Linked DNA regions of Canis lupus familiaris. Each later gene encodes a partner of the first gene's protein in a complex. Links are inferred from orthologs where the notes say so. Each region holds a gene or a part of one and is shown on either strand. Other genes may lie near its edges.

Region 1 (9,834 bases):
AGATAAGACATTCATTCATTTGACAACAAATATTTATAAAACATCTACCATGTTCTATAAGAGTAATTAAATTACCTATCAGGGCACAAGTCAATTTCAGTCTTGTGGGGGACACAGACAAGTAAATAGGTAAATCTAAGTATGTAAATTGATGAGTACTGTGAGTGAGGAATATACAGGGTACTCTGAAAGTACCTGTAGTGGAATTAGGTTTGGCCATCTAACCAAATCTTAGTGGAGTCTGGTATTGGGGAAAGCTTCCTGGAGAAAGTTTTGGCTAACCTGAGGCATAACATGTATAAGGGTTAGCCTGAGGTGAAGTGTTAAAAGGGAAAAAGATGTGGGGGTAGCTAAGTGTATTTCACATAAAGTATGTACAAAGGAAAGAGGAGCTAGAGAATGTGGCATGTCTCATGGGACTCTAGAACTTCAGTGTTCAGAGATGAAGCCAGAGGTGTGAGCAAGGACTATTTCATGCATGGTCTTAGGTATTATTGGAATTTCATCCTTAGTGCGATGGAAAGTCATTAAGGCTTTTCAGAGAAATGACATGATTCTTGTTGCTGTTTGGAAGGGTTTTGCTGACAGAAGGAAGAGTGGGTTGGGAGAAGTTAGATTAGAGACAAGGATATAAAGTGTAAGGACATTCTGGGTAATTGGTTGAGATGTGTTTGAGCCATAAACTATTTTGGTAGCAGTAGAGATGAAAAGAACTAGATGAATTTATGAAATTTTAACTAGTAACAGCAACAGAGTTGGTAATTGATAAGATGTGGGGTATGTGGAAGAAATAAATAGTAGTAAAGGTAACACTCAAGTTTCTAACTTAAGTAACTAGGTGGATAGTGCTTCCATTTAATGTGATTGGGATCATGGAAGGATTCAGAAAAGGAAGAATATGGATTCAGTTTTATAATGGTGAACCTCAAGTTAATGTGGAAGATGGGTAATAGGAGGTGGATATATAAACAAGCTGCTCAGGAGAGAAATGAGGGCTGGTGACTAAAAGTCATCAGCATGTAGGTAGTATTTGGAATAGATGAGGAGTTTTGCAGGGAGGGTATAAAGAGATCTCGGAGGACTCTTGAGTAGGATCCTGAGGAATCCAATATTTAAGAGATGGACAGAGGAAGAACCAGTGAAAAATACTGAGAAGCAGCAATTGGAGAGAGGTAGGTTGAAAATGGGGAGAGTGCTGGGTCACTGAAACCAATGGATGAAAGTGATTAAAAAGGTTATCAGGCAGTGAGAGTAGAAATATAATGGTAGAAAATGCACCCTATATGGGAAATTCAGATGAAGTGCTGTGTGATTTCAGATGAAGGAAAGACTCTCTGGCTAGGGAACAGGAATGCTTCATGGAAGAGGTTGCACCTGAAAAGCACATTTAAAGAAACTCCTGAATGGCAGGGAATATATTCCAGGTAAAGCGGCAACATAGTAACAGGTAGGAGAGTATGAGGCTTTAGAAGTAACAAGTCGTATGTTATTTAGCTACAGTTCTAGGGTTGGTGTTAGAGGTAGTACTAGAAAGGTAATGGGGAAATGAATATGAAGGCCATGATTGACATGCTGAAAGCTCTATGCTCTTGGCAATAGGAAGCCATAGGAGGATTTTAATGAAATCAGAATGATTTCATTCCTTTTAAGACTGTAGCATACTTCATTGTATAGATATATCACATTTTGTTTATCCATTCATCAACAGTATATTCTTTAGGGATACATATATAGGTAGTGATATATTTTGGGTAAAGGAAAGTAACCCAAAATTCAGGGTGCAGGTCACGTCTGGAGGAGAGAATGGGAGGGATGTGACTTGGGGAGGGGGTGCGAGTGTTTTACGGTACTGGTAGTGTTCTGTTTCTTTTCTATTCTTTTTTTTTTTTTTTTTTCATGAGAGACAGAGAGAGAGAGGCAGAGACACAGGCAGAGGGAGAAGCAGACTCCATGCAGGGATCTCGATGTGGGACTCGATCCCGAGTCTCCAGGATCACGCCCTGGGCTGAAGGCGGCGCTAAACTGCTGAGCCACCTGGGCTGCCCTAGTGTTCTGTTTCTTAAACTGAATGGCGAGTAAAGGATATTCATTTTATTCGTTAAATAGCTTATATGTTTTATACTTTAGTATGTATATTTCACAATTAAAAAAAATTAAAGTGATCATGGCAGTACTGTAATTTTCAGTGTCTTGTAAATAGAATGATATAAGATTCGTTATCTGATAAGATTAATCTATCAGTAGGTTAGGTTGGGGCAAAAAGAGGTTCTTTGGAGAGATTACTGAAATAGTCCAGAAAAGGAGTACAGGGCCAGAACCAAATCAAACTGTAGCACTGGAGAAGATTAATATAAATCAGGAAATTAATATAAATCAGGCAAAGAAATCAAGAGTATTTGTGAACTGGTGGGACAGGGTGGAGTGGAGGTTGTTCATTTTCAGTGTGCTTTCTTTCCTTTTTCTCACAGTGACTTTATTATCTAAAGTCACTTGTATTGAGCCTCCCCCTATTCCCTTGGTCTTACTCAACAGAAGACCTCTCTTCATTCTTCATTAGGAAAAAAAATAAGTTATCAAGCTTTACACTATTAAGTAAAAGTGTTTTACTTTTTTGGTCCCTACCTCACATAAAAGAAGCATGAAGAGTCTGAGATTTTACCTTACTTGCAGTCTACTAAGTTAGCCAGTTTCATGGAAGCTGGTAGAAAACATGAAATTCCTGGGTCAGAGTGAAGGTTAGTTTTTATTCATAGCAATAGAGTGAAGTATTAGCATTTTTTTTCTAATCCCCAGTTTCTTTAGTGTGACATAAAGAGTGCCAGATGATACCTGTACGTGCAGTGGGTTGTATTACAGAAGAGCTTAGGGAACCTAAACTTTTTGTAATGGGAAGTAAGCATGCCTGCCCTTTGCTCCATAAGAAACATTACCTCTATTTTCCAGGGCTATTTGTTATCCTTGAAGAGATCGTCTAGAACAAAGGGCCCTCAGTACCTCTTTTGCAGAAACCTGAGAGATTTATGGACAATTGTCTCCCAACACCTCAGAACATCTTAATATTTATCCTTCTTTCATTTCTATCAATCTCAGAAATATATCATTTCTTTTCATAGCTAACACTTCAACTTTGATTTTTATCCTCTTCTCTCTTGACTTCTGAGGTCTTATATCATGGCTATGTCTTCTCAGATCTTTATCAAATATTTATTGAATATTATGATACAGTGTGAGATGTTACAAAGCAGCTTTATGTAGCACTTACGTTAGTTAAGGTACTCAGATAAGTAAAAGAAATATTGAAGATTATCTTAGAATAGGATAAACTCGGTAAAGTTAAAATAAAAAAGAATGACGTGGAAGAAACTGGGATTGGTCCTATTTTACATAGTGATCATTGCAGAGACTTTTAGGAAGAAGTGACCTATGCACAGAGATCTGAATTATGAGAATCAGATTTCCACATAAAAGAAGAGCACAAAAACTCATAGGAATAAGATTGATATTTTTTGAAAAACAAAAAGAAAGCCCATGTTTCTGGATGGTAGTGAGCTAAGGAGGACAGTGGTAAATGATGAACTTAGATAGGTCCAGATTACTAGATTCAGATGACAAGACATTTGAATTTTATTTGGTCTATAACCTTTGTTAGTCCACTATATCTTTCTTTTAAATTATAGATATTTTATGGGCCTTTTCCTGTTCTAAATAACTTTTTGAAGAGATGCCATTACTTCCCATTCTTTTCCAAATTCTATAGAACCAAAGAATTAAAAGATAAATTCTCAACACTGTTGGAAGACGAAATGGTGCCATCAGGTATTGTGAGGAATTGACAGCCTGAAGGCTGGAAAATGACAGCCCAGAATGGCACAGAGAACAACTGTGCATGAAAGGAAAGCCTCAAAACTTTCAAGTTCTTGGTAATGGGGGTAATCATTTCAAGGTATGTGCCTTAAATAGGAAGACAGTATTTCTCCTTGCCCAGTTCTTTCTCCTCAAATCATTCACAACACATGCATTCTCTATTCTTTCCTCTCTCCCTTTCTCTCTCTGACACACGCACACAAACCCCCCCCCACACACACACATACATACACACACATGCACATACTAAGGATAGCATTTGTCTATTTCTGAAATTCAAAACCATTTGTAAGGTAAACTACCTACCTGAGGAAGGCTTCCACTGTGGCTGTAGGGACATGAGAAAAGAGTAGAACGTGAAGTAACTTGGGAGGACTTATCTATGTTACAGAAGCGTACAGGAGGAAAAATGAAAGACAGTCCTGCCCAGGGGGAAATATGTTAGAGTACTCACAATCAGAGTAAAACTGTTTTCCTCTGTTTTTGTCACTTGGAGCCTTCTCAGCTTACCCACACATCTTAATGTGGCTCTGGCCACTTAATATACCAGCAGTCAGCCTTCCTGTATAGGAAAGAGACTGAATGGGGGAAATATCTGTATGGCTATAGAGAAAACCTGGGCCAGCTGTGTGTATACTCATCAACTTAGATTTTTGTTCATAAATATGAATGGACAGCCAAGGATCATCATCAGACACTTAAGAAAACCAATGCAGGAAAAGAAGAGCGAAGATGAACAAACCACTGATTTGGATGAAACATTTAATTCAAAGAACAGAAGAACATACAAAATATATTCTAACCAATAATTTTTGAGAGATTCCAGAAGATAATGGAACAATTCAAAAGAAGCAATGAGCAAATGATCTTTGAAATTAAACATATGATTTAAGGTTTAAAAAAATACAGGGAAGGCCCCTGGGTGGCTCGCTTAATTAAGGGTCTGCTTTCAGCTCAGATCATGGTCCCAGGGTTCTAGGATTGAGCCCTGCATTGGTCTCCCTGCTTATTGAGGAGACTGCTTCTGCTTGTGCTCTCTCTGGCTCATGCTCTGTCTCTCTTAAATAAATAAAATCTTCAAAAAGACGAATAATAAATAAAATAGAGGTATTTGGTTCAGTTAGTAGAGCATGCAACTCTTGATCTCAGGGTTGTGAGTTTAAGCCCTACATTGGGTGTGGAGCCTACTTAAAATTTAAAAAAATCTATTTTAATATTAATATGTTATAATAAAATATAAAATTAAATTAAAAATAATTTAAAAATTATATATCATTGACTTTTGAACAGTGTGAGGACTAGGCATGCCGACCTCCTGCACAGTTGAAAATCTTTTTTTTTTAAAGATTTATTTATTTATTTATTCATGATAGAGAGAGAGAGAGAGAGGCAGAGACACAGGAGGAGGGAGAAGCAGGCTCCATGCTGGGAGCCCGACGTGGGACTCTATCCCGGGACTCCAGGATCGTGCCCTAGGCCAAAGGCAGGCGCTAAACTGCTGAGCCACCCAGGGATCCCACAGTTGAAAATCTGAGTATAACTTTTGACTCTCCTTGAAACTTAATTACTAATAGCCTGTTGTTGACTGGAAACCTTACTGATAACACACACTGTTGATTAACACATATTTTATATGCTATGTATATTACATGTATGTATATGTTCTTACAGTAAAGTAAGCTAGAGAGAAAATATATTAAAATTGTAAGGAAGAGAAAATATATTCACAGTACTGTACTGTGTTTATTGAAAAGTCTGGTATACGTGGACCTGAGTAGTTCAAACCTGTGTTGTTCAAGAGTATGTCTTCTCTATATTAGAAGAGCAAAACAATGTAATAGATCTAACTACAGACTGAAATAGTAATCTGGAAGATAAAATCAAAGAAATATTAGAGTTAAAAGACAAAATGTGGGAGAGAAGCTAAGCCATGGAAGGTCAATCCAGACAATGCATTGTAACTAGAAATTGAGAAATAAAGGTTGTCCCCCCGCCCCCCATATGTAGCCATGTGGCCTTAGGGGACTGTTGGTATTTATGATTGCGATGGGCCTCTGGACCTTGTTTCAACCAGACTCTCTATTTTTACAAGTTTTATATGTTAGAGTTAGTGTAGTATTTTATTGAAGGAAAAAGTGGTCTACCAGGAAAAAAATGTCTGAAAATTAGTGACATATGGGATAAAGCTCAGATTTGCTGTGTTTTATTCAAAGGTCTTCACAGTTTTACCACAACTTGTCTTTCTAGGGGGAGTGAAAGAAGATTACATAGAAAGGATAGGGGCCAACTCACATAGGGGTATGTAAGGCAATATAAAGACTTTAAGACCTATGGAATGAGAAGTTTTTGAAGAGATTCAGACAAATAAAATAGTCTAATTTTTGTATATTTAAAAAATTTAAATTAGCTATTATATACTATGCATTATATATTAAAATTCTGAAAGTATTTTATATTTCTATGGGAAATGGATTATGGCTCAAAAGTTGAAATGCGGGGCCAGTCAGAGGCATTAAATGCTCCAGGCAAGATAAACTGGTGTTCTAAACTGAAGAGGTAATAATTGGGATACAAAGAAGATTTATATATTCTAAAATATATTAGGATATGTTTTAGAAGAAGGTGAGCCAAGGGGCAGCCTGGGTGGCACAGTCCATTAAGCCTCTGATTCTTGGTTTTGGCTCAGGTCATGATCTTGAATCATGAGCTTGAGCACCGGGTCAGTCTCTGTGCTCGGCACAGAGTCTGCTTGAGAGTGTCTCTCTCCCTCTTCTCTTACACCTCCTGTTTGTGTTCTCTCTCTCTCTCTCTCAAATAAATAATAAAATAAAAATTAAAAAAAAAAAAAAAGCTGAGCCAAGAAGGGAAAAGTTAACATGAAGGTGGTGAATGATAGTAAGAGAGATTTGAAAGAGTGGGGGGTTTTTTTTCCTTTCTCCTCTCTTCCTTTCTCCCTCCTCTGTCACCTTTTCCCCCAGCCTCTCCCTACCTTTTAGTAAAACAGAGAATATTTCTTTTGTAGTCATAATGTACTCCATTTTGTTGGGAAAGGAAAGGAGTTGGTGGTAAGACTGGAAAGGTTGCCCACATTCAAAATGAATTGCTTATATATTTAATAAAAGGATAATCAGAACTTTAAAAAAATAAACATTTGTTATCCTCATAGTTTATCTGTATCAGATATTTAACAATGGCTTAGATAGGCAGTTCTGGCTCAGGATCTCTCAAGAGAGTGCAGTGATCTGATGGCTGGGCTGGAGCTGGTGGATCTAAGTCCCGGGAGGCATATGGTTAGCAAGGGGGTACTGGTTGTTGCCAGGGGGCCAGCTCTCCCTCCCCAAAGTGTTCTTCTTCATGGGCTGTTTGAATATCTTCACGGCATGGTTCTGGCTGTGCCCTCTCCCCCTGGCCTCGGGGTGACAGGCAGCTGCAGAGGAAGGTTCTGAGCCTCATGGGCAGCTGTGGCACCTGGAACATGGGGCAGAGCACTCAGAACTTTTTAAAAAATGATTTTAAATACCCTACAATGAAAGAAGCATGTACTGACAAAAATGATGGACTTGGGGATTAAAGAAATTTGGAAAATAGGAAAATACTACCTCATATGGTTGTTCTTAAGGTCTAACTAAGAAAATGCATATAAAACACCATACAGTAGACACTCTGGCTGAAAAGAAAACTTCTTTCTTCTTGATCAAACATAAGATAAGTTACTTTAAAACCTTAGAGATGTTTCAAACTTGTTGAAGTTTAAAAACAATACAATTTCTAAGGGAAAATTATACATATTTCCTTATTAGCATAATCACTGATTTACATGTAGGAGGTTAACAGTGCAAATTTAGTTTTCAGGAATTGACCATTGCTTTATAAGAGTATTAAACCTTTTATTGGGGCAGCCCTTGGTGGTGCAGCAGTTTAGCGCTGCCTGCAGCCCGGGGTGTGATCCTGGAGGCCCAGGATCAAGTCCCACATCGGGCTCCCTGCATGAAGCCTGCTTCTGTCTCTGCCTCTCTCTCTCTATCTCTCTCTCTTTGTGTCTGTCATGAATAAATAAGTAAAACTCATTTAAAAATTTAAAAAAATAAACCTTTTATTGAATATCTTTAATTTAAAATGTTTTTTGAGTACGCCACATATTGAATAATTTGTAACAAAGTCATGCCATAAAACTGATGTTTGAAATAACTCATATAAGTGTACATTGGAATATTTATGGAAGGGGATGCATAGTTAAACCAGTGTTCATGCCAAATCCACCATGCACTCATATGTATTGAGCTATACTGTTAAAAAATATTTTGTAATTAAAATATGTATACCACCAAATTTTCTTTGTTAGAAAATAACTGACATATAATATTTACTAACTACTGAGAAAATAGCAAACTCTGCTTTGAATACCTAGACACCTTCTCATTGGCTGGCACCATCTGTGACAAATTCTGAACTGTACTGTTTACAGACACACAGCTGCAGTCTGAGTTGGCACCAAAACCAAGTATTGACGCTGTGCTCTTTGCAGCCCTAGCCCTGTCTAATTCCTCTGGAAGGGAGGAGATGGGAGAAGAGGTTGCAAATGCAGGAGTGGTGAGAGTAATTGATAGTTTATGTCTCTTCTCTCTTAAGAAATAAACCCTCCCCTTGTCTCGAAACTCCTTTAGCTACCACTCTTTTTCACCATCCACATTTATGGCTTCAACTACATAATTGGCTCCTAATATTTTTATTTTTATTCTAGAACTCATTCCTGAGCTCCATTGCTAGAGTTGGGTGTTTAATGTCTACCTAATGCTTTAAGTTAGCTTAACAGTCTACAGAATATTCATCTTCTAATAATAAATGCTAACTGTGGGCAGCTCGGCAGTTTTGCACCTATTTTTAAATGCCAGATGACATCATGGAATGTTGCAAAGTCAAAGTGGTGAATTATCCCCAAAAATCCTAGTTGTATTTCTAATAGAAAATATTCTTTCATGGAGAGTGCCTGTTGAAGTAGTGTGATTAGCTGCTATTACAGTGGTTAAACAGACCAATTGAATCAGAATAAAGGATGCCTACCAAGACACTAAAGGCAGGAGTGAGTGAAGCACCAGAGATGAAGCATTTATTCAGTGTTCATTGTTTTTTCCATCTGCCTGTGTGTTCTGAATAAACTTAGGAAGAGGTGGGAAACTTTTTAAGTCAAAATGGCACGCATACATAGTATAGAAGGTCAGAGTTCCATAAGGTTCATCACTAACAATGCATTTGCAATGCCATTTGCATTTCTCAGCACTCTCCTTGGCAACTACTTCCAATTTTTTAGGTATTTTTTCCGATGTTACCTGAATGTTTGTAAGCAACATGCATACTTATTCCTTCATTTTGAAAATGTTAGTTTTGAACATACTAACTTCTTACTTTGGGAGAGAACATAACCTCCACCTTAGCACTTATCCCCTCCCATACATACTTCTCCCCATTCTAGCACAGATATAATGTAGTGTTTGGTTAATCCAAATTATGTGTCTACAGTATTCTAAGCATATATAATCAAGATTTAGCAATGTGACATACTAAGTTTATATTTTTCTTGTATAATTTTTTGGATTTTTTCTGCAGTTAATAATTGCCTTACTTTTCAGATTTGCTTGTTTTTTATAGACCTATTATTTCCTCATCCCCAACTTCCCCAGTTAGAAGTGCAAATCTTTTAGTAAATCTGTATGCATCAGGTAATCTCATACTTTTATCTTTTCTTAGCAATATTCTTCTTGGAGTTTGCTATCTTCCTTTGGTCTGCCTGAGATACAGTTATCCTTGTATTTCCCTTTATTGCTATTCTGGAAATCCTTTTTCCTTGTTCTTGTGTTGTATCCTTTATTTCCTGGATCCCATATTGTCCTCTTTCTTGGCTTATTGTATCCTTTCGTGGGACACATCTTCCAGTAATTTACTGTAAAAAAAAATGCACAATAATTAATTTTT
Region 2 (9,108 bases), on another chromosome or scaffold:
TGAGAGACACACAGAGAGAGAGGCAGAGACACAGGCAGAGGGAGAAGCAGGCTCCATGCAGGGAGCCTGACATGGGACTCAATCCTGGGTCTCCAGTATCATGCCTTGGGCTGAAGGCGGCGCTAAACCACTGAGTCACCCGGGCTGCCCTGATAAATTCTAAATATATTTTGGATACTAATCCTTTATCAGATACATCATTTGCAAATATCTTCTCCTATTCCATAGGTTGCCTTTGGTTTCCTTTGCTGTGCAGAAGATTTTTATTTTGATGTCGTCCCAATAGTTCATTTTTGCTTTTGTTTCTCTTGCTGAGCTCAGGGACCCTACCTAGAAAAAGTTACTATAGCCAATGTTAAGATAAGTTACTGCCTGTGTTCTCTTCTAGGATTTTTAAGGTTTCAGTTCTCACATTTATGTCTTTCATTCATTTTGACTTTATTTTTGTGTATGGTATAAGAAAGTGGTCCAGTTTCATTTTTCTTCATGTTCCTGTCCAGTTTTCCCAGCACCATTTGTTGAAGAGACTATTTTTTTTTCTACTGGATATCTTTTCTGCTTTGTCAAAGATTAGTTGGCTTTATAGTTGTGAATCCATTTCTGGGTTTTCTATTCTATTCCATTTACCTACATGTCTGTTTTTGTGCTAGTACCATACTGATTACTACAGCTTGTAATATAACTTGAAGTCTGGAATTGTGATGTATCCAGCTTTCCTTTTTTTTTTTCTTTTTATGATTTTTTTATTTATTCATGAGCGAGAGGCAGAGACATAGGCAGAGGGAGAAGCAGGCTCTCCATGAGGAGCCTGATGCAGGACTCTATCCTGGATCCTGACCTGAGCCAAAGGCAGACACTCAACCACTGAGCCACGCAGGTGCCCCTGTTTTTCTTTTTTGTGGTTCCATACAAATTTTAGGATTGATTATTCTAACTCTGTGAAAAATGCTGGTAGTAATTTGATAAGGATTACATTAAACGTGTAGATTGTTTTGGGTGGTAGTAGACATTTTAACAATATTTGTTCTTCCAATCCATGAGCATGGAATATTTTTCCATTTCTTTGTGTCATCTTTAATTTCTTTCATACATGTTTATAGTTTTCAAAATACAGATCTGTTACCTCTTTGGTTAGGTTTATTTGTAGATATCTTATGATTTGGGGTATAATTATAAATGGTATTGATTCCTTAACTTCTCCTTCTGCTGCTTCGTTATTTTAGAGAAATGCAACAGATTTCTGAATGTTGATTTTGTATTCTGCAACTTTATTGAATTGGTGTATCAGTTGTAGCAGTTTTTTGGTTGAGTTTTTTGGATTTTCTCTACAGAGTATGATGTCATCTGCAAATATTAAAGGTTTTACTTCTTCCTTGTGGATTTGGATGTTGATTTTTATTTCTTTTTGTTGTCTGATTGCTGAGGCTTGGACTTCCTGTACTATGTTAAGTAACAGTGGTGAGAGTGGACATCCCTGTCTTGTTCCTGATTATAGAGGAAAGCTCTCAGTTTTTCCCCTTTGAGGATGACAGTAGTTGTGGGTTTTTTATATGTGGCTTTTATGATGTTGAGGTATGTTCCAGACTAGCTTTAGTTGTCCACATGGGCATGGAGACAGTCCTTCAAGGCCTCTGCTTATGCTGTTCCTTCTGCTTGGAGTTGTCTTTTCTCTTTCAGCTCCCTATATCCCCATCACCAACCACCTACTCTTTTAAAACTTACTTCTGAAAAAAACAAAACAAAACAAAACAAAACAAACTTCTGTGTCTCCTCTGCCAGAAATTCTCCCTGCCCTGATCCTCAATCCCAGGATAAACTAGATGACCTCTGTCTTTCATTTACCATATGTATTGTTGTGAATTCTTTCTCACTTTCTCTTCTCCACTAGACAGGGGAAGGAACTGATGTTTTTTAATCATTACAATTCTAGTACTTTCCAAGTGCCCTGCACTGTTCATTTGCTCCATGATTGAATGCCCTGTGCCTGCTCCCTGCAAGCTGAAAATATCTTTAAGTCAAAAAATGGTTTCCCATTCAAATTTTAAAGATTAAAAGAGTGAGATTATAAAGCAAATAATTTCATTCAGTGTTTAAACTGATATATATCTTCATATGTAATTATGTGTAATCATGATATGTACATTGTACCATTTTAAATCATGGTACATAGTTATCTAGATTGGAAATATTTAGATTCTTCAGAGTAAATACTAATTTCTGTGGGTACAGATAGATATGGTTGAAACATCTGATAAATGGTTAAAACCTGATGCTAAATGGTGCTAAAATAATGCCACAATTAGGAACCAATAAGTGCCAAAGAAATGTTAGTTTTATATATGGGGCTGGATATTCCTTTTTTTTTTTTTAATATTTTATTTATCCATTCATAGAGACACAGAGAGAGAGAGAGGCAGGGGCACAGGCAGAGTGAGAAGCAGGCTCCACGCAGGGAGCCCGATGCGGGACTCGATCCAGGGTCCCCTGGATCAAACCCCGGGCTGCAGGCGGCGCCAAACCGCTGCACCACCGGGGCTGCCCTGGATATGCCTTTTTTTAAACCATTAATATATAGTTAAAAATTCCCAACCACAGATGAGATCAGTAGTTAGTTTCAGAGTTGAGTAATAGAGTAATACATTTTTTAAAAGTAATTTTCACAACTTTTAGAGCGAAGTTGACTTTTTTTTAGAGAGTAATAGAGTGTGCACAGGTTTGGGTGGTAGAGGGGAGGAGCACAGGAGAGGGAGAGAGAGAGAATCTTAAGGAGGCTCCATCCCAATGCAAAAAGCCCCACAACTGGACAGAGTCCAACACGGGGTTGGATCTCACAACCCTGAGATCATGACCTGAGCCAAATTCAAGTGGTGGACGCTTAAGCAACTGAGTCACCCAGGTGCTCCTAGAGAAATAGTTGACTTTTAAGTTAAAAGAATAAGAGTTGCTAATAAATAGTGCAGAAAACAGAAATGTCTTTCTATTTGATGGAATGATTAGAACACAAATTATACCCTTTTACATCAGAATATTACAGCTGGTGTTTCTGAAATATTCTCTTTACATACTTTATTTTCCACTGTAACCAGTTTTATTTTAAAAATAGCAGTTTGAAAGGTAGTGTTCATTACATTGAACAGGCAGGGTTGAGTTTGTATTTAGGATTGATACCTTAAGATAAGCATTTTGTTTTGTAATGTTGTTTCAGCCATTTTATTTTTATTTATTTATTTATTTATTTTATTTTTTTTATTTATTCATGATAGGCACACAGTGAGAGAGAGAGAGGCAGACACAGGCAGAGGGAGAAGCAGGCTCCATGCACCGGGAGCCTGATGTGGGATTCGATCCCGGATCTCCGGGATCGCGCCCTGGGCCAAAGGCAGGCGCCAAACTGCTGCGCCACCCAGGGATCCCTGTTTCAGCCATTTTAATAGAAGTACTTTTGTTTTTATCAATGGCCTATTTCAGTTAAAAGTTTTTTTTAACAATCACATGACAAATTATGTAATATGCGGTTTACTTTTCTTACAATTGTTTATAAAAAAACAAGTTTAATGGAAATTTTAGGCTGTAGAAGCGATCTTTATCAACTGTGATTATAAACTAGTTTTTAGCAAAGATTTTAGTTTATGGTGAGGTGAATGTTTTGAAAATTTATCGTATAAACAAATTTATTAAAAACAATAGGCTTTAGTTTTCATTTTAACATAAACATACTAAATAATTTCTATGCAAACAGGATGTTTTTATGTCCAATTTCCAAATGGCTTATATCTGGATATAATTGAACAATCAACTATTAATGTAAATTATTGTCCAGTGAAATGGTGTAAAGTGAACAAGGGCTGAATTAAAATGAAAAAAAATCTTAGGTTCTAGAAGGAGGCCATCTCCTTTTCTTTTTTCTTTTCTATCACTATGCTTTTTTTTTTTTTTAAGATTTTATTTATTTATTCATGACAGACACAGAGAGAGAGAGAGAGAGAGGCAGAGACACAGGCAGAGGGAGAAGCAAGCTCCATGCAGGGAGCCTGACGTGGGACTCAATCCCGGGTCTCCAGGATCACACCCTGGGCTGAAGGCGGCACTAAACCGCTAAGCCACCTGGGCTGCCCTCACTATGCTTTTTTGATTCCCTCTCCTCCAACCCCAGTTCTTCAAGACTCTTAAAAAGTGTCCTAGGAAATAATGTTGATGCTTACAATAAATCAGAAATAGTGAGACTTTGAAAGAATCAAAGAATTTTCACCTCCTCCCACCTCCCTGCGTGCCCATGCCCAAAAAACATAACTATTTTTCTTATGTTTGGCTGCTATTCAGAATATCTTTTCTCTTTTTTATAGTGATGTTGAACCCGAATGGCTGGACAATGTGCAGAAAAATGGAGAATTATTTTATTTGGAATTGAGTGAAGATGAAGAAGAAAGCCTCCTTCCTGAGACTCCTACTGTGAACCATGTCCGGTTCAGTGAAAATGAAATTATAATTGAAGAAGATTACAAAGAAGGAAAAAAGTATGAACCTAAGCTGAAGCGGTTTACCAAAATTTTAAAAAGTAAAAGTCTTTTACCCAAGCGCTACAATAAAAAAAATAGCAATGACAATGAGCCAGTGTCCATTCTAAAGCATCAGTCCAACCCAAAAACAGGAGTTGTTGTCCAACAGCGGTATAAAGATGTGAATATTTATGTAAACCCCAAAAAGTTAACTGTAACCAAAGCCAAAGAGCAGCTCAAGCTTCTGGAAGTACTGGTTGGGATTATTCATCAGACTAAGTGGAGCTGGAAAAAAAGTGGGAAACAGGGCATTGGAGAGAGACTTGTGGTCCATGGCCTGCTACCAGGAGGATCTGCTATGAAGAGTGGTCAGATATTAATTGGTAAGTGTTGCTGGTAAATATCAGTTCTTGTGTGCAGAGATTCATGATTAATGATGTTTTGTGAGACATGATCAAAACAGAATTCTATCCAAAGTCTCAACAGATTAAGGACTGCTTGGTGATATTTGGGATAATAGTGAAATTGTTAAGCATGGTGTACTTCAAGGAAGGCCATGCTGTTCTTAAATAAGGTTTTTGGTAAGTTGAGGCGTGTGCCTCGTTTAAGCCAAGGAATAGCTTAACTAATTTTTGAGTTTTGAATTATATAATTATATTTCATCTTGGTTATATTTGCTGACAAGAGAAAGAAAATAAGCTAATTTTACAATGATGATTTAGATTTGAATGACCTATATCCAACAGCATGATATAAAAATATGTAATTTATGAATAAAAATACTTTTAAATTGTATGTTTGCACTTGAGTACACTAAATTCTTGGAGTGGTTTTAAGCTGTTTCATTTGGCATATTTAGCAACAGTGATGTTATACATAAATTTCCTTTTAAGGGTGCTTGTCATAAAACATTTCATCAATTTTAAGGGGAAAAAAATCCAAAAGTCATTCTGAATATATATTAAGGTGAGCATTTTGTATTGCTAATACATTTTTAGCGTTGGATATAATGCTTGAGTCATAGCAACTTTATTACTTAGATAAAGCTGTATTAGTCAAATGTGAAAATATATTGTTAATGAAACTTAAGTTATTAACAGATTTAAAAACTCATGGTCTTTTAAGTTGACTCAGCCTATAAGATTTAGATAAACTGGGACACCTGGGTGGCTCAGCGGTTGAGTGTCTGCCTTGGGCCCAGGGTGTGATCCTGGGGTCCCGGGATCGAGTCCCACATTGGGCTCCCTGCGGGAAGCCTGCTTCTCTCTCTGCCTGTATCTCTGCCTCTCTCTCTCTCTCTGTGTCTCTCATGAATAAATTTTTAAAAATCTTAAAAAAAATTAGATAAACTTTTATAGCTACTTTAGAAACATTTAAAAATATTTCTTAGTCTAAATTGCATTTGTTCATTGATTCAATGAAACTTTTGAACATTTGCTAAGTGTCAGGAATACAAAGATTACTCTAAGGATCCACTTACACTTCTTAAGAAGCTCAGACTGTGATGGAAGAGATGGGTCAGAAAGAGGCAGACTGGGGCCTGGATGGCTCAGTCAGTTAAGCATCTGCCTTCGGCTCAGGTCATGATCTCAGAGTCCTGGGATAGAGCTCCACGTGGGGCTCTCTGCTCTGTGGGGAGCCTGCTTTTTCCCCTTCCTCTGCTTCTCCCCCTGCAGGTGCTTGCTCTCTCTTTCTCTGTCAAATAAATAAAATCTTTAAAAAAAAAAAAGAAGTAGGTAGACAGTTTCACATAGTATGATAAGTGCAGTGATAGGGGTTTACAAGGGCGAAATCACATAGGAAGGACATCTATGCAGTGGGTGTTCCAGATGGTTGCAACAAGATCTCCCTATTCCTTTCTTACAACGTCATGTTGATACTCCTTCCATGAAGAGTTAAGTTTTTGGGTCCTCCCCTCCCTACCCCTGTGGGCCTGGACTACAGCTTAACTAGTACTATGTGATCTCAGGGGTGGAATCATAAGAGGTGATGCAGCTTCTGCTTAGTATTCTTGGAGTCCAGTTTTCATTGTGTGAGCAAGGGTGGTCCACATGAAGAGGCCACGAGTAGTATTCCAGCTAATCACCCCAACAGAGGTCTCAGCCGCCCTGCAGCATCAATTAGTTACCACACATGAGTGAAGAAGGCTTCCAGATAATTCCAACCCCAACCACCATCTGACTGCAACTACATGAGGAACCCTGAGTGAGAACCTCCGCTAAGCCCAGTCAGCCCCAGAACCAAGAAGGATAATAGGTGGTGGTGGTTGTTTTAAATGCCTAAGTTTTGGGGGATCCCTGGGTGGCTCAGCGGTTTGGTGCCTGACTTTGGCCCAGGGCACAATCCTGGAGTCCCGGGATCGAATCCCACGTCGGGCTTCCGGCATGGAGCCTGCTTCTCCCTCCCCTCCGCCTGTGTCTCTGCCTCACTCTCTCTCTATGTCTATCATAAATAAATAAATCTTAAAAATAAATAAATTAATTAATTAATTAATTAATTAATAAATACCTAAGTTTTGTGGTCATTTGTTATGCAGTAACAGATAGCTAATGCATGCTTACGTTCTCTCAGGTGCTCAACTTCCTCTTTTGTAAAATGTCTCTAAGGTTTATTCTTTGTTCTTTCAGAGGATGCCAGAATTCATGCTTATGAAATCTTGCCTGGTTGTTGCCAACCACCATAATTTTAGGATACCACAAGATGGGAAACGCCTATATTTATCTGGGGCCTCTGTTCAGGACCTAATTGGACTGATTTGTAGACAAATCTCTAAAATTCTTTTTGCCCATTTCTCTTGAACCCTAGTGGAGAGGTGGTTATGATCAGTGAACGTCCTATTCCATGTTTACTTTCCCCTGATCCTCACTCCAGTCTGCTGAATCCTCTAGGAATGACGCTTTTGTCTTCTCATACCATCTGTGTGGGAGGAAAGAGAATGAACTATAGAGAGGGAGAGACTACTATATAGTCCTGTTGATTATATTTAAAATAATTTAAAGATACACATGATGCTCAGAGTATACTTCTTGGCCTGAATGTAGTTACATAAATATGTGCATTTTTTGATAATTTACTGTTGTACTACTACAGTTTGTGCACTTTTCTGCATGTGTATTGAGTAGCAATAAAAAGGCAAAAAAAATGAAGTTCATCATTTCAGTTTCATAATGGAAGAGTTTATGATTTACCAATATGTAAAAAAAATTGTCAGAATAAAATGATTATTTCATCCTTGATGCATAGCAAAAGGTTTGGTTGATAAATAAGCCCTCAAAAACAGTTATTGAATAAATGTACATACTATGTAGAAAAATAGGGGAAAATGATTAGAAGTAAATATAAATGCAGCAAAATGCTAGTAGAGTTGGGTTTGTGTGGAGACATTATAAATGTTTTTTTCTTTTTTCAGATGTTTAATTTTATGGTTATGTTGTATATTTTTAAAGTCACATACTTTGGGAATAAATAATGGACAATTAAAATGTCATGGTGACTTTGATAATCCCACAGGATGGAATTCTCTCATTTGTTTCTTTCATTGTTTCATTTCACACTGAATTCTGTGGTTGAACTGTGAGGTAACCCCATATGCAGGAGGATCTTGAAAACTTTGTCCTGGTAATGCAGTATGCTGGGGTGACTTCTGCCATTGTCTTAGCTGGAGAATGACCCTCCTTTGACTAAAGTGTGTTGGCCAACACAGTGAGACTGGTGACTGTTTTCATTCTTTCCCTTTCATGACAGTAGAACTCATGTTCTATTCTGATTCTTCTTTTACTGGGATTCTGGGGGGTTTGCTGCATTTTCTGGTGCCATTTTTGCAGTTCTTTCTGCTGACTTAACTCCTTATTTTTTATTTCTGAGTTTTTCTTAAAGTTTGACCGCTGAGGGGCACTAGGGTGGCTCAGTCAGTTAAATATCTGACTTTTGATTTTGGCTCAGGTCATGATCTCAGGGTTGTGAGTTCAAGCCCCGTGTTGGGCTCCATGCTGGGTGTGGAGCCTGCTTGAGATTCTCTTTCTCCCTCTGCCCCTCCCTGCTCCTTCCCACCCCCATGCACGTGAATGCAGGTGCTCTCTCTCTTTCAAATAAATAAATCTTAAAAAAAAAAAAAAGTTTGACAGCTAATTGCTCCTTGACTACGAGTAGCCAGTCTGTATCCCTAAACCAAAGCAAATCCTCTTTTTACCTGCATCCTAGAAATTATGTATCACCTTGGTGATTTTTTTTTCATCAAGATGACCCAGTTTTGCTAGTTTAAGTAGGTGTTTTTTAAGGATTGGAAAGGATAGGGTTAAAGAAATCACACATTAATGTTCTAAACACATTAACAGTAAAAGTTTTATTTTAAGTGCTTTTTGTGTAACTTCTAAGGTTCTCACCTGTGATCACTGAATAACTTTGTTTTGTATGACACACTTGTGCTATTTCTCTTTTAAATTTTTTGAAGTTTTTTTACTTTTTAGAAATCTTTTTGAGGTATAACATTCATAACATGGACAAATCTTAAGTATACATTGAATGAATTTTGACATATGTATATGCCTGTGTAACTACCACCCAAAGAACATTTCCAGTACCCAGAAGGTTCCATAGTGCCTCCTCCCAGTTA

Evidence for each region.
Region 2: the proteins of WDPCP (region 1) and INTU are in contact, whole or in part, in a cryo-EM structure (PDB 7Q3E), measured with the Mus musculus proteins. The link is inferred for Canis lupus familiaris from reciprocal best matches to the Homo sapiens genes WDPCP and INTU. Residues at the interface, in NP_663400.2 of Mus musculus: Phe3, Cys4, Leu5, Ile24, Leu51, Ser54, Arg55, Asp56, Lys93, Leu385, Ala386, Glu387, Asp388, Tyr389, Ile427, Lys446, Leu447, Gly448, Ile449, Leu450, Thr451, Arg452, Gly453, Leu455, Leu462, Gln463, Ile465, His466, Tyr467, Gln487; in NP_780724.3 of Mus musculus: Val481, Gln484, Val488, Asp491, Ser495, Asp496, Glu498, Ala499, Ala500, Asp501, Ser506, Glu507, Asp508, Arg513, Arg514, Thr517, Ser532, His533, Leu534, Pro535, His574, Tyr593, Glu610, Gly613, Cys614, Ala615, Ser616, Lys617, Ser653, Pro654.

The regions. Positions count from the first base shown.
Region 1 is NC_049231.1:64,519,205-64,529,038, reverse strand, and holds the start of WDPCP (WD repeat-containing and planar cell polarity effector protein fritz homolog), read left to right. Parts: upstream 1-3,806; 5' UTR 3,807-3,886; coding exon 3,887-3,943; intron 3,944-9,834. UniProt on the Homo sapiens protein: Probable effector of the planar cell polarity signaling pathway which regulates the septin cytoskeleton in both ciliogenesis and collective cell movements.
Region 2 is NC_049240.1:14,064,389-14,073,496, reverse strand, and holds part of INTU (protein inturned), read left to right. Parts: intron 1-4,343; coding exon 4,344-4,879; intron 4,880-9,108. UniProt on the Homo sapiens protein: Plays a key role in ciliogenesis and embryonic development.